Oryzias latipes: one gene and its partners. The protein of the gene in region 1 interacts with the protein of each later gene in a pairwise test. Links are inferred from orthologs where the notes say so. Each region holds a gene or a part of one and is shown in the gene's direction. Other genes may lie near its edges. The genes, in order: grb2, histone acetyltransferase p300, wbp11, wipf2, prrc2a, garem1 and ptpn23.

What was found.
Region 2: the proteins of grb2 (region 1) and histone acetyltransferase p300 interact in a two-hybrid assay, tested with the Homo sapiens proteins (2 studies listed by BioGRID and IntAct). The link is inferred for Oryzias latipes from reciprocal best matches to the Homo sapiens genes GRB2 and EP300.
Region 3: the proteins of grb2 (region 1) and wbp11 interact in binary tests that used the Homo sapiens proteins (3 or more experiments, as listed by UniProt). The link is inferred for Oryzias latipes from reciprocal best matches to the Homo sapiens genes GRB2 and WBP11.
Region 4: the proteins of grb2 (region 1) and wipf2 interact in binary tests that used the Homo sapiens proteins (3 or more experiments, as listed by UniProt). The link is inferred for Oryzias latipes from reciprocal best matches to the Homo sapiens genes GRB2 and WIPF2.
Region 5: the proteins of grb2 (region 1) and prrc2a interact in a two-hybrid assay, tested with the Homo sapiens proteins (2 studies listed by BioGRID and IntAct). The link is inferred for Oryzias latipes from reciprocal best matches to the Homo sapiens genes GRB2 and PRRC2A.
Region 6: the proteins of grb2 (region 1) and garem1 interact in binary tests that used the Homo sapiens proteins (3 or more experiments, as listed by UniProt). The link is inferred for Oryzias latipes from reciprocal best matches to the Homo sapiens genes GRB2 and GAREM1.
Region 7: the proteins of grb2 (region 1) and ptpn23 interact in binary tests that used the Homo sapiens proteins (3 or more experiments, as listed by UniProt). The link is inferred for Oryzias latipes from reciprocal best matches to the Homo sapiens genes GRB2 and PTPN23.

What each region holds. Positions count from the first base shown.
Region 1 is NC_019866.2:20,735,366-20,738,306, reverse strand, and holds part of grb2 (growth factor receptor-bound protein 2), read left to right. Parts: intron 1-330; coding exon 331-453; intron 454-798; coding exon 799-967; intron 968-2,941. UniProt on the Homo sapiens protein: Non-enzymatic adapter protein that plays a pivotal role in precisely regulated signaling cascades from cell surface receptors to cellular responses, including signaling transduction and gene expression.
Region 2 is NC_019866.2:19,347,922-19,351,421, reverse strand, and holds part of histone acetyltransferase p300, read left to right. Parts: intron 1-58; coding exon 59-319; intron 320-415; coding exon 416-581; intron 582-709; coding exon 710-877; intron 878-961; coding exon 962-1,123; intron 1,124-1,248; coding exon 1,249-1,530; intron 1,531-1,616; coding exon 1,617-3,500. UniProt on the Homo sapiens protein: Functions as a histone acetyltransferase and regulates transcription via chromatin remodeling. Acetylates all four core histones in nucleosomes. Histone acetylation gives an epigenetic tag for transcriptional activation.
Region 3 is NC_019866.2:20,478,051-20,482,317, forward strand, and holds the start of wbp11 (WW domain-binding protein 11), read left to right. Parts: upstream 1-1,467; 5' UTR 1,468-1,634; intron 1,635-2,020; 5' UTR 2,021-2,043; coding exon 2,044-2,107; intron 2,108-2,187; coding exon 2,188-2,219; intron 2,220-2,327; coding exon 2,328-2,421; intron 2,422-2,653; coding exon 2,654-2,850; intron 2,851-3,072; coding exon 3,073-3,203; intron 3,204-3,283; coding exon 3,284-3,450; intron 3,451-3,535; coding exon 3,536-3,721; intron 3,722-3,820; coding exon 3,821-3,940; intron 3,941-4,042; coding exon 4,043-4,267. UniProt on the Homo sapiens protein: Activates pre-mRNA splicing. May inhibit PP1 phosphatase activity.
Region 4 is NC_019859.2:1,935,332-1,938,831, forward strand, and holds part of wipf2 (WAS/WASL-interacting protein family member 2), read left to right. Parts: intron 1-138; coding exon 139-753; intron 754-2,548; coding exon 2,549-2,785; intron 2,786-3,500. UniProt on the Homo sapiens protein: Plays an active role in the formation of cell surface protrusions downstream of activated PDGFB receptors. Plays an important role in actin-microspike formation through cooperation with WASL.
Region 5 is NC_019869.2:5,521,344-5,524,875, forward strand, and holds the end of prrc2a (protein PRRC2A), read left to right. Parts: coding exon 1-608; 3' UTR 609-3,032; downstream 3,033-3,532. UniProt on the Homo sapiens protein: May play a role in the regulation of pre-mRNA splicing.
Region 6 is NC_019878.2:10,713,160-10,717,217, forward strand, and holds the start of garem1 (GRB2-associated and regulator of MAPK protein 1), read left to right. Parts: upstream 1-1,258; 5' UTR 1,259-1,783; coding exon 1,784-1,904; intron 1,905-2,601; coding exon 2,602-2,742; intron 2,743-2,933; coding exon 2,934-3,064; intron 3,065-4,058. Other genes in the region: ncf2 (neutrophil cytosol factor 2), read right to left, coding at 1-101.
Region 7 is NC_019874.2:27,587,562-27,591,061, forward strand, and holds part of ptpn23 (tyrosine-protein phosphatase non-receptor type 23), read left to right. Parts: intron 1-2,121; coding exon 2,122-2,178; intron 2,179-2,274; coding exon 2,275-2,333; intron 2,334-2,430; coding exon 2,431-2,510; intron 2,511-2,594; coding exon 2,595-2,709; intron 2,710-2,803; coding exon 2,804-2,869; intron 2,870-3,500. UniProt on the Homo sapiens protein: Plays a role in sorting of endocytic ubiquitinated cargos into multivesicular bodies (MVBs) via its interaction with the ESCRT-I complex (endosomal sorting complex required for transport I), and possibly also other ESCRT complexes.

The sequences.
Region 1 (2,941 bases):
GGTTTAACTTTCAACACGCATTCAGTGGCAGCGCGTTTTCTACATGGAGCCTGAAAAATGGTCGTAAAAGCTTTCATAGCTACGCGTAAATGTGTGAGTTTTGATTGCGGAAGGCCCAAACCCATATTTAGGAGCGTTTCCATAGACTTTTCATCTGAAGTGGATGCTTGAACCTGTGTCGCTTAAGGCGGTGTGAACGTAGCATCAGAGGTGTCTTCCATACGGTTTCTTCTGCACGTTTGCATCAACTTAGTGATCCCAAACCAAAATGGTTATTGATTTAAAGTCCCATGTGTAAACTAAGTTCTTGTTGTGTTTGCCGTCCTCCAGGTGGTTCTTCGGGAAGATTCCTCGCGCCAAAGCGGAGGAGATGCTGAACAAGCAGAGGCTCGATGGGGCCTTCCTCATCAGAGAGAGCGAGAGCGCACCGGGGGACTTCTCCCTGTCTGTCAAGTGAGCGGCCGCACTCTGACGCCACAATCCAGGAAAAAATTACTCGCATTAGTTTTTCCATTCATATTTTTCCCCTTCAACCTGGGCGTGACGTGCTTCCTCATTTCTGAACAAATTTATGTTCTCGGAGTTTGAGTCACTTGTGGTTTTTCCCTTATTTCCAGTTTTTAAAAATGTTTTTAGAAAACAAATTTCTGATAAAACTACAATTTTTCTGCTTTTGTTTTTTCATTTAGTAATAAAAATGTTTTTAGGAGCATTTTTTTTCTTTGCTTCCCTCCACTCTCTTTCATTTAGCTGCTTCTCCACCACACTGTTCAGAGTCTGAGTTTCTGTTCTCTGCAGGTTTGGAAATGACGTGCAGCACTTCAAGGTTCTCCGCGATGGAGCTGGAAAGTATTTCCTATGGGTGGTGAAGTTTAACTCTCTCAATGAGTTGGTCGATTACCACCGCACCACCTCAGTCTCCCGCAATCAGCAAATCTTTCTGCGAGACATAGAGCAGGTTCCCCAGGTAAGACATCCCACTAAACTGTTCTTTAAAAATGGGGCTTAAGGATTGGTTTCTGTGTTGATGGAGCACACTGACTGTCCATGTGCACCTTCTGTGCAAATACATGAAGACACAAATGTCCCAGCATATGGGTTTGCAGCCCGACCACATGTGAGCTCAGCGGAAGACCTGCCGTGGAGCGGATCTTTGGCGTGGAACCGTGGGTGTAAAAAAACCACTCTGAGGTCACCACATGCCGAGGTCACATGACTGCACCTAATGCTTCTGATTCGCATCAGAGCTTTCTTTCTTTTAGCTGATCCATTTTTATGATGCATCGTAAAATCTAAATGTCACAGGTTTTCTTTTTAAAGACTTTATGGACGTAAACTAGAGCAGAACCTTTTTTTTGTTGTTGTTGTGGTCGTTTTAACTTTGAAAAGTATTTCTTATTGCAGCTACGCTGTGCCATCGGCCACATTTCAGTGTCACAAACGGTTAAACTGACATTTGGAGTACAGGATTACACAGAAGCGCTTTAAAGATGAATGTGAGATCATTTCATTCCTGCATGTTCATATTAGTCACAAAGGTGTTTCATGGTTTTGTGGAGAGCAGCACTGAAAATACTAATAACAATCAAATCCTAAACGCATTCAAGACTATGTACCATCCAGACTTCATCGTGGTATGATCCAATACATGGAAAGCTGTTAAAAATGCGTACTTTTATTTATATAAAAACTTACATTTTGACAAATTACTGTATCTTTTTGGACTATGAGTCGCTCCAGACTTGACAGTCACAGGAGCAAGAAAGAAGAAAAAGATCACAAATGCGTCACACTTCACGCCAAGCCTGGTGTTGGACTGAGCGCCACTTCTTCTGTCACGCTGTCAGTAGGAAATGCTGATGCGCACATCTACAGCGCCCTCTCGTGGTTGTTGCTATTGATTTTTTTTTTTTATACATATCAGTCGCACCTCAGGACAAGTTGCAAACTCAGCCAAACATATATTTATGTGGTATGTGGAGTTTAATTCTGCAGAAACAAAAGAATATAGTAGTAAAAACCTCTCCTGCTCTGCTGCACTCTGTTCTTTTTAGTCACAGTTGTTAAAAATAGACATTCATGTGAATGTTCTGTGATGGATTCAAATCAATTCAGATGTTGTAAAAGCAGCTCTTCAATGCTTGTGCGCCTTCTTTCTTTTGCTAAAAGCTTTTTCTCGTGATTGGATTGAGATGGCTGCACTAAACAACACGTTTGGTCCAGTTCTGAGTGAATGCATCGACATTAATGCCGCCGTTTAACGGGAAACATTCAGGCGTGGAGCTGTGGAGGCTCCGGCGTCCGACCACGGCCTCTCAGTCCAATGCATTGGAGATCAACTGTAAATGCAACGGAGAAGACTGCGATGCTGTGACGAAGAATCAGACAAGACGTCTAAAGCAGCGGTCCCCCAAACCCAGGACCGGTATCAGGGTTAGGGTAGCAGACAGAACAAAAATACATACTCCAACTCCGATTATTTCTGTTTTGTCTATTTTCTGATACTAAAGGAAGTTTTATTTTGGAAAACTACCGAATTTTGTTCACCACATCCGTCTGTCTGGACGCGTCACATGACTTTAGGCAGCTGTTCAACGCTTAAAAGCTAATAAAACCAACAAATAAATGTATTTGGAAAGTTTCTTTGGGGAGAAAAGAGTCTGCAGGGAAACCAAAGAAGACTCTTCCAATTCATCGAAAAATTGAGACCTTATTTACAGACAAAACCAGAAGTCTTCCTCCAAATACAGATTCACAGTCGTTCCCGCGTACCAGAAGCCGCTCTGCATAAATCTGATAAAGATGCAGACACGGTGGATTCACGTTTATTACGTTTAGAAAATACTTATTTTTACGTTAAAGGACATTTACGAATTTTCCTACAGCATGGATGAATTACGCTGGCATGTGTTAAGAAACTCGGCACAGAAAATGTTCCTCT
Region 2 (3,500 bases), about 1.4 Mb from region 1:
TTCAGCAGTTTGGGCAAAAGTGGACTTTGGGTCTCATGTCTGTGCTCCTCCTCTGCAGGTTTGTGGACAGCGGAGAAATGTCCGAGTCGTTCCCGTACAGGATGAAGGCCCTGTTTGCCTTTGAGGACATTGACGGGGCGGACGTGTGCTTCTTCGGCATGCACGTTCAAGAGTACGGCTCAGACTGCCCCCCTCCAAACCAGAGGCGGGTGTACATCTCCTACCTGGACAGCGTGCACTTCTTCAAACCTCGACACCTCAGGACAGCAGTGTATCACGAGATCCTACTAGGCTATCTGGAGTACGTCAAGAGGCAGGGGTAAGAGCCAAAAGGCTTCATTGCGCTTTTAAGAGCTACTAAAACAGGATGTCCTTTAAACTTTTGTGCTCATCTGTGAAACTGTCTGTGTTCCAGGTTTACAGCGGGACACATCTGGGCCTGTCCTCCCAGTGAAGGAGATGATTATATCTTTCACTGTCACCCGCCAGACCAGAAGATCCCCAAACCCAAACGCCTGCAGGAGTGGTACAAGAAAATGCTGGACAAGGCCGTCTCTGAGCGGATCATCCATGACTACAAGGTCAGAGGCCTCATTTAAGATCAGTTTTAGAAATTTCTCTTATTGCAAACATTTCTACTGTGATTTTTGACTTTTTTCCCCCCCTAAATATTTTAAAACAAAATTTTTTTCCTTCTGTGGTCATGCAGGACATTTTCAAACAAGCAACAGAAGACCGACTGACAAGTGCCAAGGAGCTGCCATACTTTGAGGGAGACTTCTGGCCCAACGTGCTTGAGGAGAGCATCAAGGAGCTGGAACAGGAGGAGGAGGAGAGGAAGAGGGAGGAGAACAGCACCTCCAGCGAGAGCACAGATGTGAGTAGGGTCAAAGCTAGCAGGTCCAGAGCAACCCTGCTGCGCTGAAACATGCATTAAAGATCGCCTTTAAAACATTTGCAGCCCTCCAAGGGAGACAGCAAAAATGCCAAAAAGAAGAACAACAAAAAGACGAGCAAGAACAAAAGCAGCCTGAGCCGAGCCAATAAGAAGAAACCCGGGATGCCCAGTGTCTCCAACGACCTTTCCCAGAAGCTCTACGCCACCATGGAGAAACATAAGGAGGTACTCAAACTTATGGCAGCAAATATTTCACCTTTTATACATGGAGCTTGTCTGTACAGATGAGGAGTTGGGTGCTGTCTATTTAATAGTTGAGAAAACTAACACTTTTTGTGTTCCCTTGGTAGGTTTTCTTTGTTATCCGCCTCATTGCCGGCCCCACGGCCAACTCTCTGCCCCCAATCACTGACCCGGATCCTCTGATGGCCTGTGACCTCATGGACGGCCGCGATGCCTTTCTAACTCTGGCCAGGGACAAGCACCTGGAGTTCAGCTCTCTCAGGAGGTCCAAGTGGAGCTCCATGTGTATGCTGGTGGAGCTCCACAACCAGAGCCAGGACCGCTTTGTTTACACCTGCAACGAATGCAAACGCCATGTGGAGACCCGCTTCCACTGCACGGTCTGCGAGGTGAGAGCGGCCAGAGAGCTTTCTGCTGCACAGACGTTGGTGCAACCAGCAGGAAAATCTTTTTCTGACTTCTCTTCTTTCTCCAGGACTACGACCTGTGCATCACCTGCTACAACATCAAAGGCCACGAGCACAAAATGGACAAGCTGGGGCTCGGCCTGGATGACGACGGCAACAACCAGGCTGCAGCCGCTGCTCAGAACCCCGGGGACTCGCGGCGCCTCAGCATCCAGCGCTGCATCCAGTCTCTGGTCCACGCGTGTCAATGCCGCAACGCCAACTGCTCGCTGCCGTCCTGCCAGAAGATGAAGCGGGTTGTTCAGCACACCAAAGGCTGCAAACGCAAGACCAACGGGGGATGTCCCATCTGCAAGCAGCTCATCGCTCTGTGCTGCTACCACGCCAAACACTGCCAGGAGAACAAGTGTCCGGTCCCCTTCTGTCTAAACATCAAGCAGAAGCTTCGGCAGCAGCATCTGCAGCACAGACTCCAGCAGGCCCAGATGCTGAGGAGGAGGATGGCCACCATGCAGAGGGCGGGGCAGCCAGCCGGGGCCATGCCAGGAGGACCTGTGGTAGGACTTCCATCACCAGGAAACGTCACAGCACCCAACACTCCAACGTCTGGGGGAACCCAACCCCCGACACCTCAGACCCCAACTCAGACCATGCCTGCAGTCCAGCAGCAGGGACTGGGTCCTGGGAGCGGAGCACAGCAACCACAACCAGGAGGAATGGCTCCTCAACATCCTCTCCATCAGTTCCAGCAGATGGGAGGTGGAGGTGGAGGTGGGGGGGTCATGAGCTCCCCACAGCATCAGCAGCAGATGCTCCCTCAGGTCCCACAGCAGCAGCAGCAGCAGCAGCAGCAGCAACAACAACAACAACAACAACAACAACAACAACAACCTGGATCAGGAACAAATCCGGGGCAGCACCCCAACAACATGCAGTCATACGCCAACAGACCACCAGGCTCCTCCCCAGTCCACCAGTCCCAGGGGAAGCCTGTTCTGGGCTCTGCAACTCCCCCCCAGCAGCAGCCTGGGGGTGTCATGCCTCCAGGACAACAGGCTTCCAACCAGCCACCAGGTCAGCCACCGATGCCCCCCTCTGGCCCCCCAGCGGCCGCCGTAGAGATAGCTCTGAAGATCCAGCAGGTGGCTGAATCTCAAAGAAAGATGGCGCTACAGAGGCACGCAGCAGGTGCGGGTTTGATGCCCCACCACCAACAGGCTCCAGGGCAGCAGATGAACATGGGACATCTGGGAGCAGTGGGGATGGTTGGACCTCAGGGGATGCCCCCGCAAATCCAGACAGCAGCAGCTCGAGCCCACATGGACCAGCAGCAAGCTGCTCCCCCAGGAATGATGGCCAGCGCTGGCGGACACATGCAGCAGGCCCCTCAGCAAGGAAACCTGCAGCAGATCCAGCTCGGCCCGCAGGCGCAGCAGAGGATGGGGGCTCCGCTCCAGAACCCGCAGCAGCAGCAGCAACAGTGGGCCGGTCAGGGCATGTCCCCCCAGCAGAGGCAAGCTATGATGACCCAGATGGGCCATTCAGCCATGATGCCCACCCAACAGCAGCCTCCCCATCAACCAACTCCAGGCCATGCTGCCTTGATGAATATGGCGCAGCAGCAGCAGGGTGCCGTTGGGGGGGTCACAGGTGGTGTAGTCCCCGGAGCTGCCGGTGTTCCTGGTGCTGCAGGTGGAAACATCCCACAGGGAGCTCTGCAGGAGCTTTTGCGCACACTCCGCTCCCCCAGCTCCCCGCTGCAGCAGCAGCAGGTGCTGAACATCCTGCGCTCTAACCCGCAACTCATGGCTGCTTTCATTAAACAGAGGGCTGCCAAATACAAGGGGGGGCAGGGGGGTCCTGGTGGACCAGGAGGAGTCCCAGGAGGACCGGTGGGTAACATTGCAGGAGGAAGCCAGCAGGGCAGCATGAATCCTGTGGGGGCCGGTCAG
Region 3 (4,267 bases), about 260 kb from region 1:
AATAAAACAATGAATAATAAAACGTCGTTAAATTTAGCACAACCATGATATGCAGTAGGGATGCAACGTTTCACGTTCCCCATGATACAGTCGAATGTTTTTACACACAGTATGATCTTAGAATGCAATGCACGGCCAAAAGATAGAAATAGAATGAGAACAAATATTTCATCAAAGCATGCGACTTCGTACCATAAAAATGTCTATAAGTCTTTTGCCAGTTTTGTGTTGTGGGTGTGGGTCATTTGGCCTTCCAATCCTAATTACTGACATGTTTTAAAACTAAATACACATTTTTTAATTTAAATTTTAAACTAATTACACTTACATTACAATGAAGACACCATAACACTGAGACTTCACTTGCTCTCGTGTTCACATAGTTGTCAACTGTATCATTATTCTGTGGCCAATATTCTGTGGTCTCCAGCTCAGAGGCCTTGTGGTGGAGGGGTTGTGGTGGAGGTTGTGAGTTCAAATCCACCGCTGAGTCAGATCAAAGACTTTGAAAATGGGACCCAATAACTTCCTGCTCAACACCCAGCATGAAGCGGTTGAATTGGAGGGTTAAACTACCAAATTGTCCTTGATAACATTGTTCCGGAGAACGAATTTCCCCCACCTTGGTGCATGGCAGCTAATGGGACTTTAAAGAAACAGCTGATTTACCACAACCCTTACACTCCTCTTACACCTCCCCACCACAAACACACAACAAAACGATGAAGACGTGGGAGCTCAAAGCCTTCTTCTTCAATGATGTTCTGGTGTATGGCAGCATCATTGGGAAGGTTATCCGTTTAGATGAGCAGCTTCCCCATCTGCATCAGTCAGAAAGAGAAAATGAGCTGTCACAGTTAACCTGAATCTTAACTAAACCTAAGAGCAACAGTTCAATTCCATGTAAACAATACTACTAGCTCTCAGCCAGAAAGGCCAAGTGGGCCCCATATGGTTTAAAAGTGAGCAGAAAATGTGGGCAATTGTCTGCAGTTTCTGTGGTGGCCTCACATTGGCTTAAGTGGGCATTCGGTGAACTGGTCCACTTTTTCTGCCCACTTTTAAACATATTTTGCCCACTTGGCCTTTCTGGCTGGAATCGGTGCTTGTTATTGTCATTGCTTGAAAAATATGTCATTCTATTTTTTAAAAATGTTTTAAACATCACATCATCATGCATTTTTTCATATTGTTAATATTAGTACTCGGTAGTTAGCAATGGCAGTATATTGTGTTTCCATTCTCTTAAAATGGCAAAAAACAATCAAACAAACACACATTTTAATAAATAAAATACTTTATAAATATTTTATTTTGTCAGGCAAATACTAAAGGTCGGCATTTGATTACAAAAAAGAAGATGTTTGGCCATAAAATTAGCAAATAACAAAAACTTTCAAACAAACTAAAAATACTCAACAAAAAGTATCTTATTTTGAAATTTTATGACGTCAAAATCGTGTTTCCGCTTTTGCCCGCGCCAGTAAACATGGCGGACGGCTAACGTTGCATTCATACACATTTAGCCCTAAAGTGTTGGGTTTTCTTTCGGTTGTGGCTTTATTTTTTTGCTTTAGGTGTCACGGAGAGCGTGACAAACCCATCGTGGTCCACCAGGTTTTCCTGAAGTAAAGGTAGAGGCGGCGTTGACTAATTTGTTGCAGTTGATGCTAAAACGGGCGTAGCCACAAGTGCAAGCTAACGCGCTAAGCTAGCGAATCTCTGCTGGAGTCCAAGCTTTTTGCTTCGATATGCTTTGCCAGCAGCCTGAATTCCTTCTTTGTTTTACCAAATTATGTAAAAATAAGAGCCAAGAGTTCCGTGTTTACCTGCTAGCTCAACTATTATAAAGAGAAACAGTTAAACTTCCTTCAAATATTAATTTAGCTTTGTGGGATCATAAAACTTACCATCAGTTTGGTATAAAACAGTAACATCAAGGCACTCTAACCACATTTTAGAATATGATTGTAGTTTTTGTTTGTTTACCTCATTACATCGTTTATTCTGCACTGGTTAGGTTAAACGAGACTGACCGCAACAATGGGGCGACGTTCAACCTCCTCCACCAAGAGTGGGAAGTTCATGAATCCCACCGACCAGGCCAGTAAGTACCGACCCGTGCGAGCAGTGATGATCAGATCCAGTCAACATGACTCATTTGTGTTTGTGTTACCTACCTTACAGGGAAAGAGGCGAGGAAAAGGGAGTTAAAAAAGGTACTTGGACTGTTAAGCTGAATATTTGTTGGCTTTTTTTATTCATTCATTTTTTTTTTCTAAACAATTTTATTCTGGATTGCATTTCTTTGCTTTTTCTTTGCACAGAACAAGAAGCAGAGGATGATGGTAAGAGCAGCAGTGTTGAAAATGAAGGATCCCAGACAGATCATCAGAGATATGGAGAAGCTAGATGAGATGGGTAAGCAGCTCCTATTTGCTTTTTTCACTTTATTTTACATCTTTAACCTCCTAGAACCCAAGTTAATCTTTGAGCTGACTCTCTACACACATAGTCATGTAGCCTCAGTTAAGCAGAATTAACTACTGCGGTATTATAACCCATAAATTGATGTCCATGCATGTGGATAAGCTTTTGAGTCACTCTCCATCCTAATTTAAAATAACATTTTGATTCTTTTTCTTGTCTGCAGAGTTTAACCCAGTTCAACAGCCTCTGCTGAATGAGAAAGTACTGAGGGACAAGAGGAAGAAGCTGCGTGAGACATTTGAGCGCATCATCCATTTGTACGAGAGGGAGAACCCGGAAACTTACAAGGAGCTGCGCAAACTGGAACTGGACTACGAGACCAAGCGAGGCCAGCTGGCTCTTTATTTTGATTCAGTGAAGGTAGCTTTAGTTCTTCCTGATCCTTTTTCCTTCCTTTGTTCACTTAAAGATCCTTTATTCTTTTCTTAAAGTATTAATTACCTTTTGAAAAATTTTAAATTAGGTTTTACCTCCAAGTCACACACACAGTTTGGTTTATTTCAAGTCTTTTTGGCTTTTTTTTTTTTTTTTTTTTTTTTTTTTTCTAGTTGCAGGTGTTAATATTTGCATTTTTTCCTCCAGAATGCCGAGTCAGTGGAGGTCGACAGTATTCCTTTACCTGACATGCCCCACGCTCCTTCAAATATTCACATCCAAGACATCCCATTGCCAGGGGCGCAGCCTCCCTCCATTCTGAAGAAGACCCCTTTTGGGTTGGTTTTGTTCAAGTTTCTCTTCCTGCATTCTGTGGGATGTAATATGTTATTTATTGTTCTCATTTTGTTTTTCATAGCAAGCCACTTCTTTCTTCATCCACTGGACCGGTGATGGCATCAGTACCTGGTGTCCCGCGTTTACCTCCAGGAAAGAAGCCACCAGGGCCCCCACCTGGACCCCCACCTCCTCAGGTCCTGGCTCTCTATGGAATTCCTTCTCGGAGAGCTTACAGCACAAAAGCCGGTAACATTCAGACACATCTATGTCAGTGTGTGTGTGTTTTTTTTAAATCTCCTGCTCCTCTTACCTTTTCTTTTTCTCTGCAAAGAATCCTCCATTCCTGGTTTAGATAGAGACGTGGAAATGGAAAGGGATCAGGACAGTGGCAGTGAGAGCGACAGAGATGACCGGGACGATGACAGCGACTCTGAGGAAGACAGCGAGGAAGAGCGAGAAGGAGGGGACAACGAGCGGCAAGATGACGACAAAAAGAGGGAGGAGAACAAAGACAGAGGTAAAAAAAAAGGAAACAAAGATGCTGATCAGCATCCCTGAGTGCATTTTTTTTAATATAATGTCTTGTGTTTTTTTCTCCGGCTCGTATTCCCGGCAGGTCGGAGTGTGCGTTTTGCAGACATGCCAGCGGAAGGAGATGGGAAGAAAAAGAAGAAAAGAGTTGTGAAAAAGAGCAAAGCCATCACTCCTCTGCAGGCCATGATGTTGAGGATGGCAGGTGAGGACGAGGGCCACATCCACATCTCTACAGCATTACAGCTGCCTTTTATTCTCAATATATTTAAATATTTATATCTATTCGCTGCTTTTCTCTTCTCAGGTCAGTCGATTCCTGAGGAGGATGAAGACGAAGAAGAAGAGGAAGAATATACGGATGGATCTGACAGCTCTGACACAGAGGAGAGGGGATCAAAGGGAGAAAAGCAGCCTCATTCTTTGGCTGGTCAGAATCTGCCTCCTACTGCCGGAAATGTGGCACAGCAAGGTCCTCCACCCATGCAAGGTCCTCCAATGACTGGACCTCCACCTCTCGGCCCACCTCCAG
Region 4 (3,500 bases), on another chromosome or scaffold:
ACTGTAGGTCCATGCTCTACCAACGAGTAGTCCCGTACGAACACTACATGTGTTCAAAAACCCACGTTCAGCCCACTGGAAGCTCCGCCTCTCTGTGTTTGATGTCTGCATGATTCTCCGCCTCTCTCCTCCTCCCAGACGGTCCGGTTGTTGGTTCCCTCGGCAGATCCGCCCTCAAGCCGCCGGGATCCCGGCCTGCTGCTCCTCGCCCCCCCACGGGTCGCTCCAGCTCCCCCACCCCGCCCAACAGGCCCTCTTCGTCGGAGCCCCAGCGGTCGCACCGCCCCTCCCTGCCAGACATCTCCCACTCCCACAACAGCAGCTCCTCCGGCGGGATGAAGCACAGCACATCTGCCCCGCCGCCCCCTCCCCCCTTCAACAGAGGAAACCGCGGCAACGCTCCGCAAGCGCCTGCTTCAAGAGAGAAACCCCTCCCACCAACGCCGCAAAGAGCTCCCGCGCCGTCAAGTACGGCGAGGCCCCCGTCGTCCTCGAGCAGACCGCAGCCCAGCGGCTCTCACGCTCCTCCCCCTCCTCCCCCTTACAGACCTCACCTGTCAGGTGGGGTCTCCAACGGGCCCTCCGACGTGGATGGAGGGGGGGCCCCTGAGCTCCCGCGGAGACACAACTCGCTGCGTAAGAAGCACTCATCAGGGGGGCGGAGTCAAGCCCCACCGCCCCCTCCTTCTCCATCCTCCCAGCAGGGCAGCCGGCCACCGCCGCCCGCCAGAGAACCACCTGGACGCAGAGCAGGTATGAACGTGGTCTCACACACGCACACACACACACACACACACACACACGCACACAGATGCTACAGCTGGCAGTCGAGCGGTTTCTGACGTCTGGATTTTTGAAGAGATCAACAGTTTTCTTACATTTAGCTGCATATATAGCATCTTCATCACATGACCCCCCCCCCACACACACACACACACATCCAGACAACAACCATCTGATTTCCTCTGTTATTCACATTTGTCGAGGGACTCTTTGCCTCCAGGTTGTCGTAGAAACGCGGCCTCAGTTCCATCCGGCGTGGAAACGTTTGTAACTCCAAACTCGCCAAACTGGAACTGACGTGTTGCCTGCGTGTAATGGGCCAACAAACGATTCTCCAGGTTCCTCTGCATTCCTGAAGTTTTCTGGAATATTCCAGCTTTCCTCTTCTCTCATTCTGCCTCCAGCTGACATCAAACTGCAGCTGCTGATCAGCTGGTTTTGTAAAATCAAAGTTTGAACCCTGGAAACGGTTCAGTTTAGTGGATTTATTTGTTTGTTTTTCCTGATCTCTGGAAACAGGATTAGGTTATGAGTCACAACCATTGACTGTATCAGAGAGCTGGACTGAGTGTGACGTCATCCATAGAAAATTGTTTACTTTCTCCTCAAACCAAATTAAGTCAATTCAGTCACCATGTTTGAGTCTGATGACATCAGTAAGCAGTGATTGGTCCGAGCCGGTCTGAGTTTCTATGGTGACCACTGTTACCAGCTTGCTGGAAGGCCACGCCCCTTCTACTTGATGGCAGACTACAGAAAATCTGTCAGTCGCTTTGAAAGTTCCGCCTACGTTTACTGGAGCATCTGATTGGCCAGTTTATGATTTAAATAACTTGAACTACAGAAAAGAATCACGAAAAAGGGGAATAATAGAGATGATTTTAAAGGGGTCAGACCCTGAATGGTTCTTCTGACCAACAAAACCGAGTAACAGCTGTTTGGTTCTCAATAGACGTCTACGAGATTTTAGCGGCTACTTCCTGTTTGGAACGCCAGGGGGGCGGGGCCACCCAGTCCAGTTCTCACACACAGTCAGACTGACTTGATCTGTATTGACATCACTTTTATGTCTAACAGACCCCCTAAGATTGAATAAATCCCAAAAGACGTTTTCTAATTCAGATTAAAGTATTTTTCTTCTGTTGACAGACGTCGTGTCATCTGCCACTTCTCAGTGTTAAATTGGGACGTTGCTTTTTATTACCAGAACATTAATTATCCGTTTCTAGAATGATCCCTTTTTTATTTTTATTAAGAATTTACAGCAGAAAAATTCTGAATTACAATTATTATTTCCTTTTGATAAATAAAATACTTTTTAAGTCAAAGAAACAAAATCTGCCAGCAGCACCAATTTATACACGAATACAACAGTAAATATGTGACAACAATTATTAAAATATAAACCCCCCAAGGATTAAACTGACTCTACCAAACTGTCAGTATCCTTCCAAACCCAGATACTTAAGCTCCTCCCCCTTGGCGTTTTCAAAGAAAGTAAAATACAATGACATAAATTCGTCCAGAATGAATCAGCTATGAATAAGTGATTGATGTGTCTTTAGTTTCATCAGGTCTCTGGTCCTGATGGAGGCTGTTCCACTGGGGAGGAGCTTACACCTCCTTTTTAAAAAAGCATTGGTCGCAGCTCCTGTCCCAGAAAACCAAAGCGAGCCTTTCAGCGGTCCGGTTCCCCTCTCAGAGAAAGTGTTCTTCCACTCTTCAGATTCTAATCCTGAACTTTTTTCTTTTTTCCTGGTCACAGTCCCCCCGGCCCCCCCTCCCAGCTCTCGGAACGGCGGTCGTGATGCCCCTCCTCCCCCGCCTCCGTATCGTGGCCACAGCTCTGGAGGCTCAGAGCCCCAGATCCGGGTGGGGAAGCCTCCTCCCCCCGTCTCCTCCTCAGCTCCACCATCTACCAGAACGCCAGCGGGGCCGCCCCCTCCTCCTCCACCCATCCGCAACGGTCACTCCAGCTCCTCCTCTTCTAGACCAAACACAGGTGAGTCCCGCCTCCATCCCTCCGTCCACGTGGCGTTGGGGACACGGAAAGCAGGAATGGATTCTTCCGTTTTTCCCACGACTTCATCAAAGGCGAATCTGTGTGAAAATGGCTGCTGCTGTTCTTCAGTGGAACTAGTTTGTTTAGGATTTTTCTGTGATGCAGGCGGCTGTTCAAAGATAAGCAAACCACCTCCTGCTCGTATGCAAAACGGCGCTTTGTTTCCTGATTACCAGGAACGCTCTTCCACGAGTCTCCAGGCCGACACGCCATGAAGCTCAGGAGATGAACCGCCACCGAGTCGTTTTGACCCTGAGACTGAAATGTCAACAAATTCCCCCTAAACGAACAAACAAAATCTGAATTTTTTATCTCAGTAGACAAAAATATTGATTTGTTCACTCATTAACATTATTGCATCTCTTGAAGACTATTTACAGTAAAAAAAACAGAAACAAATAGTTTCTGAAATGAGGACAAAGTTAAACCAAAGAAAATTGATTTGAAACCAAAGACTCAGTGTTGGATTTTAGCCGTAAGCTGAGCTGCTGCGTTTCTGAAACTGGACTTTTGCGTAGAAACCTTCATTTCTTTGCATGTCTCTGCTTCAACTGGCTGAACGTTTCAGTTTTCAGGCAGACGAATCTCTGCTTAGCATCGGCAGAAGCCGGTCTCATTTCCACGTTACCCCGGCGTTTGTTTCCGTCTTGTGTTG
Region 5 (3,532 bases), on another chromosome or scaffold:
TGTCTCCTTCCCTGAATTCAGTGCAGGACGGCAGCGAAGCTCAAGTCCCGCCTTCCGTTACAGGAAACGCCCAAAATGCCACCCAGAGCACCACACTAACCACCAACAGTAACAGCGGCGGCGGCGGCCACCTCAACAATGCAAACAGCCACCACCATCACCACTACAACCAGAGCAGCGCAGGTCCAACTCACCCCCAGCACCACCACAACCACGGCGCCAAGTCTCCCGATTTCACCAACCAGAACTCCGACCAGGCCAACGAGGAGTGGGAGACCGCCTCCGAGAGCAGTGACTTCACGGAGTTCAGAGACAGGGAGGGCGGAGGGGGAGGGAAGCATTACCACCACCACCCCGGCGGCAGAGGAGGTGGCGTCGCCGGAGACCTCATCGAGCGTGACGTGACGGGCAAAGAGCCCAACAAACGAAGCTTCTCCAGCCAGCGTCCCGGGATGGACCGCCAGCACCGGAGGGTCAACGCTGGAGGAGGAGGAGGAGGCAGAGGCCCCCGCGGCCCACCCGGCGGCGGCCCCGGGGGGCAAGGAAACGGAGGCGGCAATCGCGGAGAGAGGCGCGGCAACTGGCCTTCTCCAAAAAACAGGAAGTGATTTGATTGGAGTATTAAAGATTTTAGTAAAAAACCCACCCACTTTGTTCCCGCCATCTCCCCTGTTTTTCTCTTTTGATCATTATGTCATGGCTTATCCGTTTGCATTTACATCGTTAGTGCATCACCGTATAAGGAGATGGTATTCACTCCAGTGCCCCCCATCCTAGTCACCCCCCCCTGCATTATGTATTCTGTACCGTCCGTTATTATAAATGTACGTCTGTTTATTTATGCCCCCTTTTTTTTAAATGTTGCATCAGGAAACGGCCCCCGTTCCCATCAGACTTGCATGTGGTTGTGTAATGCAGGTGCACGTTTTGTTCTGAGAGACACAATGCTCCCACACACACACACACACACACACACACACCTGCATTTACAAGCACAAAAGCGTGAGATGCGTCAGAATCGGGGCTGACTTTTATATTTGTGTATACTTCTCTCACACTTAGGCCTTGGGTGATGTTCAGTAGTGGAGCCGCGCGCTTTCCCTCACCACGGGAAGAAATCCCGCAGCTTCATCCTTTTAGCGATATCATACCTGAAGATATTTGGTTTGTGTGATCTTTTGTTGTTGTTGTTGAATTTTTAATCCTTTAAGAAAGGCTAGGGAGTGTGTGTACGCATGTGCGATTGTGTGGGTTTTTTTCCCGTCATTTTTTTTTTGTATATTTCTCTCGTTATGGTCTCCTGCAGCGAGTATAATTACTGTGAGAAGACCCATGGAAGTACCGCAGCTCAGTTCTCACCTGTCTGTAACTTCAGCTCATAAAGACTGACTCGTTTTTTCCCCCCACCCAAAATTTCTTATCCTTTACTGACTCTTCTTTAGGTTTTGGTTGCTCCTCGTGTAGGAAGAAAGGCTTTTGAGGCCTCATCGTAGCATCTTCCCTCCTTGCAGAGCCAGAAATCCCAGGAATAATGGCTTCGATAGTGTGATTTATTTTAAAGTTCTTTAAAAGCCTCCCGTTTTCTGTGGCGACAGTCCATTTCAAATCAAAGTTTGTTTTTGTTGAATAAAATTGAGTCTGATAATGAAGGTCCTGATTTACCTTTTTTATTTTCTTTTTTTAGAATGCATCGTTAGTAATTGAGTATGTTATAATAAGCACTCCTTGTTGGTATATCAAACATTTTTGGTGGTTTTGAGACGTGCTGCAACAGGAAGGGTGCTCTGTTTGGGCCCAGAGTACATCATCAGTGTTGTTCCTTTGTTCACCCCCCCCCCCCCCCCCCCCCCCCCCCTTGCTGTCAGGCGTGGGCGGCACCCTGGCAGCACTGTAGGGCGACTTCCTCACACCAAGAAGGACTCGCCGTTGAGGAAGCGTGGATGAACGCAGGACAGCCTAACGTTTCAAAACGATGCCGAATCGACATTCTGCGGTTTACACGGTTTCTGAGATTTGACTGGCAACACACACAAAAAAAATCTGACTGGGAAGGAAAAAAAAAGCATCGCATGGATGTCGATGATCTTTCTAAGCAGTTTGTATCACAATGAAATAAGAACTTTCAACGGCATCCGAGGTGGAAATAGATCTTTTTTTTTTCTCCTGCGTCAATTCTGTCACTGCTGTAAGTTGGGGTTTGTTTACTGACAACAATTTGAAGATTGTCTCTGGGATGTTGCGAGTAGGGCATTCGATGATTTCTGTATGTTTGTGTTAACGTGGATGTGTGTTTTCTGGTGTCTGTTGTAGCTCGGGAAGGGGGTGGGGACCAGAGGATTTAACATTAAAAAGAAAAACGGCAAGCACTTTCTGCCTTGTTTGCCCGCGTGTGATCGAACTAATATAATTAAGACAATTCTACTGTTTCTTAAATACATTCACGTGTATACATTCAGCTGTGTGTATATGTTCATCATCCAAATGAGAAACCTGCAGTGGAGAACTTCTTTTGTGTAAATTAAGTATAGATTCTTCAGCAGGCAAATGAAGTTGGACTTATTCTTTTTGTTTTTCCCACTATGACTTCTTAGCATGATCACACCCATGGGTGCAGCTTGCATTGCCTGTTACTGGTTGATACATTGATAGCTTTACACTGGACTCCGGCTCAAGGAGTCCTCCACCTCTCCTCAAGTTTGATGTGTGCATTCATGTATGTACCCATGTTAAAAGATGAACACAAGTAGTGTATCACAGCAGAATCTCTCAACGATTGTATTACATTTCCAGCATTACTGAGGTACCTGGAGTGGTTCAGTTTTTAGCATTTATGGTTTTAGTAACGGAACCGTAATATACACACATGTATGTATATTGGTATGTATCTAAGGTTTGTCTACCCCAACTTACATTCCCACAAACAAATGTTGCCATTTTTAGTTCAAGGGAGCAATGTACAAGCAGAGAAGTGTCTTATAATAAAGTTATACAAAGAAGGCAAAGTTAAATAAACTACTTTGATTTAATGGAAATTTGTTGCTTGTGTCATTCTTGAAGTGTAGAATTTTTCTTTGTGTTTATTTGCTTGTTATTAAAGATGAATTGTACTTATTTTGTGATTCACCATTGCAAGTCTATGGAGTTGTAATTCAGAAAGCGACCGACAGATGGCGGCTGGAGGTCTTACAGTAAAACGGAAGAAGAAGAAGAATCCAACTGACAGCCAGGAGAGGGGACCATCTTATTTACGTTACTGAGAGCTCTAAATTGTTTCTTGAATTATTCTTGATGAAGTTTGGAATTTTTCTGTGTTTATTTGCTTGTTATTAAAGATGAGTTGTACGTATTATTAAAGATGAATTGTACGTATTTTATGTGAATCACCATTGCAAGTCTATGGAGTTGTAATTCAGAGGGCGACCGACAGATGGCGGCTTTAGATCTTGCAGTAAAACTTGCAGTAAAACGGAGGAAGAAGAAGAAAAATCCAGCTAACACCTAGGAAGGGGTGTCCATCTTATTTACACCACTG
Region 6 (4,058 bases), on another chromosome or scaffold:
TCAGGAATGGCCAAGAGAATCCGGAGAGCTTCCGAAAAATCCTGTTTGTCAGCACAGGTTACGCCGTCATCCCACTGTCGCAGAGTGTCCACAAAAGACATTTTGGCTGCCGCTGAGACACAGTGACTGAATTGAGGAAGTTTCTCTGATTTATGCCATGAAAAACAGGAAGTTGATGACAACGTTCAATGAATTTGCATCAACGCCATGTGCTCTTGAGTCCAAGTCAATATAGTAAGAATCGTGGTTTGATCTGTGAATCGTTGATCTGAAAAAATTATGGGTGTTTAAATATTTACTGTAGTATTTTAAGAGTAAATAATGAAGTAAAGTGCAATAGTAGTACTCCCCACCTCATCATTATCTTTGGTTAATTTTATGATTTACATGGATTTGTATTAGCAATACCGTATTTTTTTCATTTTTTTTCATTTACTCATCACAAAGTCTACCTTAAGTTAAGATTTTCCAAAACTTCACTGATTAAAAATGAATTAATAAAAATTGTGTGAACCCATATATTTAGCCAAAACAAAAGAACAGGTTATTTTATTACCTCAATGTTTTTTAAATTTATTCTTTTATTTTATGTGCCTTAAGAGATAAATGAAAACTTATGAGTAATTAAAACATTATTTTAACATTATTTAGCAAAGTTTGAGGCTTAAATCTGGCATTACAGTCTGCAAAACAAAATAGAATGAAAAAACAAACAAAAAAAAAAGGTTACATCTCAGGTTTTAATAGACTTTTTCTTTAAGTTATATAGATTAGTGTAAACATTAACAAAGTTATAAGAAAATAAATTATTTTAGAGTTTTGATTTTTTTTCTCTTGTCCTTAAAATTGTTGAATTGTTGGCCAACACTCTTTAAAATTTTTCTTATTTCCCCAACCTTTTAGCGAGACAAAAATATACTTTCTGGTACTTATCTTGAATTAATTAAATGCATTTTCTTTAGTATGTAGTAAATAGTAAATACTTCTTCCATTCCATTAAAATCCAATTTCTACATCTGTTGGAACAAACACTTTTATTTCAAAAGCTAAGATGTAAAATTAGATAAGATATAAAATAGCTAAGCCATAAAGTTAGAAAATGTATCGATTGGTTATTACGAAATGATACGAAACTTCACAATTTTTGGAATATATTTTATTTACTAAAATAGATTTTTAATTTGTAATCCAGACTATTTTATCAGAAGGAGTTCAATTGTTTGTGAGAAGTAAAAAATAAATAAAAATAAGCAAAAAAACAAACAAAAGAAAACGCAGTGAAATTATTGAAGTGGTTATAAAAAATTAAACCTAATGGAAAAGCCTAAAGAATGCACTTTATTTGGCCTTTTCCCTTCTTTTGTTAATGTTTTATCACCTGCTATGTACTTGTATAATTTTGTTATAATTTGAGTTGTTGTTCCGGGATTTAAATCTTGTTATTCATCAATTTTAATTGGAGGGGGAAAAGGGAAAGGCTTTTATTTAATAAAAATAAAATTGTAGAAAGTGACGTATTTCCGTTAGAATAGTTAGCTTGATACTGCCGTCGCTACTAAACAAACATGGCTTGGCTACTTTTTCTAACAACGAACCTTTTGGATACGTAGGGAAACTTAGAGGGAACTATGCAGCTACGACTTGGGAACGTCATGTGCATGACACAACTGCATAGATGAAGAGCAGCTATAATTGTGTAGCTAGTTTGCTCGGGAAAGCTTTTTTGTGACCGTGTTTTGCACCAGTTAGCTCAAAAAGTGGCTAACTAACTTAAGCTAGCAAAATGGACCTTGGAACGATGTTGTACAATAACTTAAAGGATGTAACGTGGAGCACGACGTCTCTGCCGCTAGACCAGCTGGTCAGTGCGTACAAGTTGCCACAAATTGTCATGCTGGATAACGGTTAGTAACTTACTTCAAGTTTTATAGCTACCATGCTAGCCAGTTAAGGCTTCTGCTTATCAGCTCTAGTCTAAGCTAATGAAAAACAAAGATTCGCTTTAGTGCAATAATGCTATAAACTGATTGATATAAAAGCAACCTTGATGGTAATGAATAAGAATTTAGGTCATGAAGTAAAAACGAAAAGGCTATTTTGCTAATCAAAGGAAAACGCTGAAGGTGTAAAAAAACAACAACATTGCCTTCACAACATCATGAGTCCCCTAGTATGTCTACACTTTATTTAACTAGAAAGTGTCTTTGACAAAAGTTAACATCTACTTAGTTAAATTTGTGTTTTTCATTTCATAATTTAAATGTATAAAACATGCAGAAATTGTGTGGGATTATGTCTAATGGATTTTAAATTACCTTTTAAAATGTCTCTTTTAGCAGGTGATGGTTATCCATAATGTAATGTTTTGAAGTAAAAAGGCTCGTGTCCAGTACTTGATTCATTTTTAAAAAACTTTATTTGTAAGTTGAACATACATTTTTATGTGTAATTTCTGACACATTTATTTATTCAAATCTTAATATTTTCCTTTTCAGGAAGCAACTCACTGGATAGACTATATTATTAAAAGCTTCATCCAGACCTGATTGTATCATAAACTCTTTGTGTACTTTGGTTGATTGTTAAACTTCCTTTCTGCAGCTCAGTTGGTTGAGGGCCTCAGAGAAAACGACTACCTCTTGATTCATTCCTGCCGTCAGTGGACAACTATAACTGCTCACAGTCTAGAGGAGGGACATTATGTGATTGGGCCTAAAATAGAGATCCCAGTTCATTATGAAGGTAAGGAGCCGCCATGAAGATGGTGCTTCCTTTGAAATGGCTCTTTCTTATCTAAATTATTCATCGTGTATGCTTTCAAAAGTTTTCTGAGTGATTATTTTGAGAAACTGATGAACCACCAACTGCTTACTTCTCATGTGATGGCAGAAGCGATGGAAAATATCAGCACTAATCATTCGTGTTCTGCTTAGGCCAGTTCAAGTTGCTGGAACAGGACAGAGATGTCAAGGAGCCCGTGCAATACTTCAACAGTGTGGAGGAGGTGGCCAAAGCCTTCCCCGAAAGAGTGTACGTCATGGAGGACATCACGTTTAATGTTAAGGTACACTTTCCCCTTCCAAAGTGATCATTTTGATGAATAGGACCGAGATGAGCATCCGAATACTCAGATATACGCCATCTTTTCCAGAAAACTGTACCAATATTTGTGACGTGGAAATATAGTGGAATATATATAAAAAATAAATTATCACTGTAAAATACAGAAAAATGTTGGATTTTAAGTTTAAAAACTAAACAAACTGAATGGACTTCTGTCACAGGAAGTAAACAAATTTTCAGAGTAAAGTGTCAGAGAAGGTTCTCGTTTTCAAAGTAAAGCTATCAAGTGTTTTCTCAGATACAAAAAATGGGAGTAAAATTTTGAAATAAATTCTGAAAAAAACATTTTATTTAAAAAGTAGTTGATAATTTAAAGAAAAATTAGAATGAATAGGACATTTTAAAATATTATTAAAATCTTCTGTTCAGTTATGTGACGTACCAGAACATGTCTGCAAAATATTCATCTAAAGTGTGGAGGTTTTTTGTGTTTTCCACTAAAGATGAAAACAGTGAGTTAATAAAATATGTTTGCTGGAAACTCTGCTGTTAGTTTAGATTAAAGAACAGTTCCTATTTATTACAGAGTCACTTTTATTGAGGTGTTGCTGTGTCTTCATTTATTGTTTTCTTATCATCCATCTACTGGAACTTTAGTCAGCCAAACTCTGAAGATGGAAAAACTGTGGAGAACACTTCCAGGACTGGATGTTAAACGATCCAAAGCAACAGTGACGATTATGTTTTGTACACTACTGAATTTGACCAGGAAGGTTACAGAAAAACTTACACAAGTGTGACATTATTTAAAGTGACAAATACCTTTTCTTTCTTTTAAAATATTTGAGCTTTTATTTATGTTTTGCTGATTCTTGTATCCTGTTCTGAACAAATGTGTAAATGATGTTTATAGATCCAACAAAAACACGTACATGAGGCGACCATTCATTCATAATATATTAAATGGAAAGAATTGTGGTTTGATCTGTGAATCG
Region 7 (3,500 bases), on another chromosome or scaffold:
AGGACATTTTAAAGCTCGTGCTCAATGTTTTGGAGGTAAACGCCGGGGAGCAGAGTGAGCCGATTGCAGACCGGAGGCTTAGAGGAAGTATGGATGTGAAATTTATGAGTAGAGTTAAAGAGGACATGATAAGAGCTGATGTCAGAGAAGAGGATGCTGGAAGATGATTCGCTGTGGGGTCCGTGTGGTGAGGAAGCTTAAATATAATATATATATATATATAAAAATAGTCAATTCAAATGTACATCATATTTATTCGGAAAAGGACAAGCTTATATTGCTCCTTTTGTTCTCAAACCTTTCGCTTCTTTCTTGGGCCCCGAAAAGGTCTTTAGTGAGGCATTTTAAAGGACCTATATCATGCATAATTGACTTGTTGACCTTTTAGGTTTATTATAATGGCTATTACTCACTATGAACCCCCAAAGCTGTATTTTGAGTATTCCTCTAAAACAGGGGTATCCTTCATGTTTTCCAATCAACCTTCCATTGAATCTCCTTACTGGCTAAACACACCCAATCAGCAGCATATAATGCAGGATTTCTGCAAAACCAGCAGCAGGACGGCCCCCGAGGCCCGGATTTGGACCCAAACCCTTCTAAAACCCTGTGCTCTGAGCACCAACCCCTCCCAAGCATGAAAACGAGTGGGTTCTCCCTTTGTGACGTAGATAAGTGAGAGCAGCCCCTTCCAGTGAGAGTCTGCGCTGCCAGCCCCGCCCCCAGGCTAACACACACACACACTTTCTCTGCAGAGCTAGCGGTGTTAAGCAAAAACACTTTCATTTTATATTCACACTATGCACGTCCATCTTTGCAAAAGTTTGGATGTTGCTTGTTTTCATGGGTGAAAGGCACGATGTGGTGGCCGGCTCTAGGTTGACGTCATGAAATGGGCGGTACCCACACGGAGCGAAAGGCGGAGCCTCAGGGATCCAGTCGTCTTACTTATGGATAGGAAAATGAGTTGCAAAAAAAACAAATATTTATTTTTAATGTGCCATGGGTAATATATTTCTGTATATATGGCTATAGCTTACCCTGAAAGCCTTAATAGTGGCATGATGTAGGTCCTTTAAAGCACGAGTGGGACATTCAGATGGAATTTTTCAAGTTTTTAAACCTGTTAAGGATCTTTCACGAACATAAAGCGAACATCCAAAACATGTAGAAACCCTTGCAAAGTCAGGCTGGCTTCTGTCTGTTGCATCTACAAGCCTAAATATACATTTGAAGCTATTTCTCAGCAAACAGCCCATTAAATGCTTGTACTGAACAGTAGTCATTTAGTAAAAGAGCATCTTTAAAACATTCTTGATCAGCTTCTGTTGCATCCCCGTGTTTACTGATGCGTTTAAAATCCTTGTTTGTGTTTTTAAATGTTATACATTACTTCAGTTCAACTGTGTGAAAGCTGCTCTCTGCTGCCTGTTGGGCAGCTTTTAGACAAACAGCTGCTGTTGATGATAGAAAATGAAAATGAGAGGAACAATGACCCTGTTTGTGTCTGGGTTTTTAATGGCAGCTCCTCTTTTGTTTACATCTAAGCTCAGTCATAGTCTTTCTTGTATTAAATTCTGCTTTTGGTTTGAACATTAAACTTGACACAGAATAAAAGAGTTGATGCTATTATTATCATCGTGAAACTTTTTTAAGTTTATAGGGTTTTGTTTTGTTCTCTGGCATGAGAAGTTGTCATTTAACAAAAACATTTGTCCACAGAAAGCAGAATTCAAATGTAAAACACAAATCTATAAAAATACTATTCATATAGGGTAAACATCCACAACAGAGAACTATCTTTAGCAGGGTAGTGAGTGCAAAGATGGTGGAAGAAATGGAGAAAATGCAGATAAAATACATATTTGCAAAGAACTTGCAAACAGGAAAAATGTCTTGTTTAATGGAAAAAAAGTTTGTTTTTGCACTTGTCAATAGCGAGTTAGCCTAAGAGAAGGATCAAATGATGCATTTCTGCTCTTGGGAAGATGGGAAGTCATGTTTTTTTCTTTCAAATATGTGTACCTTTACTTGCAGTAATATGTTGGTTTTACGTCACTTTGAAAATGGATAATAAAGTTTGTCACAGCGTTGTTGAACTAAAGTCTTCTGTTGTTGCAGTTGGCTTACCTGCAGAGCTCCTTGGACAAACTGGGGGAAGCTATCAAGCTAGCTAAGGTAGCTTTTTTTCGTATTCTTTGCAACTTTCAGTGTTTTATTTCTTTCTTTTAAAGCTTTATTTATTCATTTCTCTTTCCGCCTTGATCCCTTCAGGGTCAGCCTGACGGTGTGCAGGAAGCCTTGAGATTTACCATGGATGTCATTGGCGGAAAGTGAGCATTGAGTCTATGAGTGACTGCATTTTTGTGTTTGAATCTTTACTTTGAGTGTTAAAAAAATGATTTTGTTTTCCATCTGAACCATTTAAAGGTATAATTCTGCCAAAAAGGACAACGACTTCATTTATCATGAGACGGTTCCCTCGCTGGAGACGCTGGCATCAGTCAAAGGTAACAGGAAGTGACTTTGCTACTGTAAACGTGCATTCATGATATTCAGTTCTCGTCCACACAAACGCCTTTTTGCTCTTCCAGGCGCTCCTCTGGTGAAGGCTCTGCCTGTAAACCCCACGGATCCCAGCGTCACTGGGCCGGACCTGTTTGCCAAACTGGTGCCCATGGCTGCACACGAAGCCTCGTCGCTGTACAGGTGTGGTCCCTCAGAGGAACTAACACTTCAAGAGTCTCTGTGTCTGTGTCTCTGTGTTAGGAAAGTTTCACCGTGTCTGTGCTTTTCATTTCAGTGAGGAGAAAGCAAAGCTGCTGAGAGACATCATAGCCAAGATTGACGGCAAGAATGAAACCCTAGAGTGAGTTACTACTGAAATTTGTTGTTTCTAGTTAAAGTCCTACTCCAACTGTATTTATTAAGTACTGTAAAATCCTTCCCAGTGGTCTTTGCCGCTTCTAGCCTAAATCAACAAGCCTCTGTCATTTTTTAGGACATGTGTTCTGCAGAGCGGCAGGAGTTCATTAGGAATTTGCCTCTGAGTTGTGGGCGGGACTGTTGGCGCAGAAGTAACCCTACGTTAATATCCCGTCATTCAGTTGTTTACTTCCTCTCCCGCTAGCTTACAGCCCCTCGTAGCCACAAGCTAACATTAGCGGCGAGCAATATCAGAGCTATCCAGCCAAACAGTTTGACATACAGATTCCAGCTCAGACGAGGAAAAATAAGACATTAATGGATCTATTTGTCTGCAAGTGGATGCATCAGAATGAAGCGGAGCAGGGAGACTTCACCCCTTTCTGCTGCTGCGTCACAACTGAGAGCTTTTTCAAACGGCGGTCCATCCCAATTTGAAAAGAGAAATCTTAATTTAGATATAAATTTAATTTATCTTAATTTAATTTACTTAGTCTTAATTTCTATAGGAGATATGATGTTGAGATAATATTCTTTTAGTGCACCTTGTTGATATTTGGATTGTTTAAGTCACT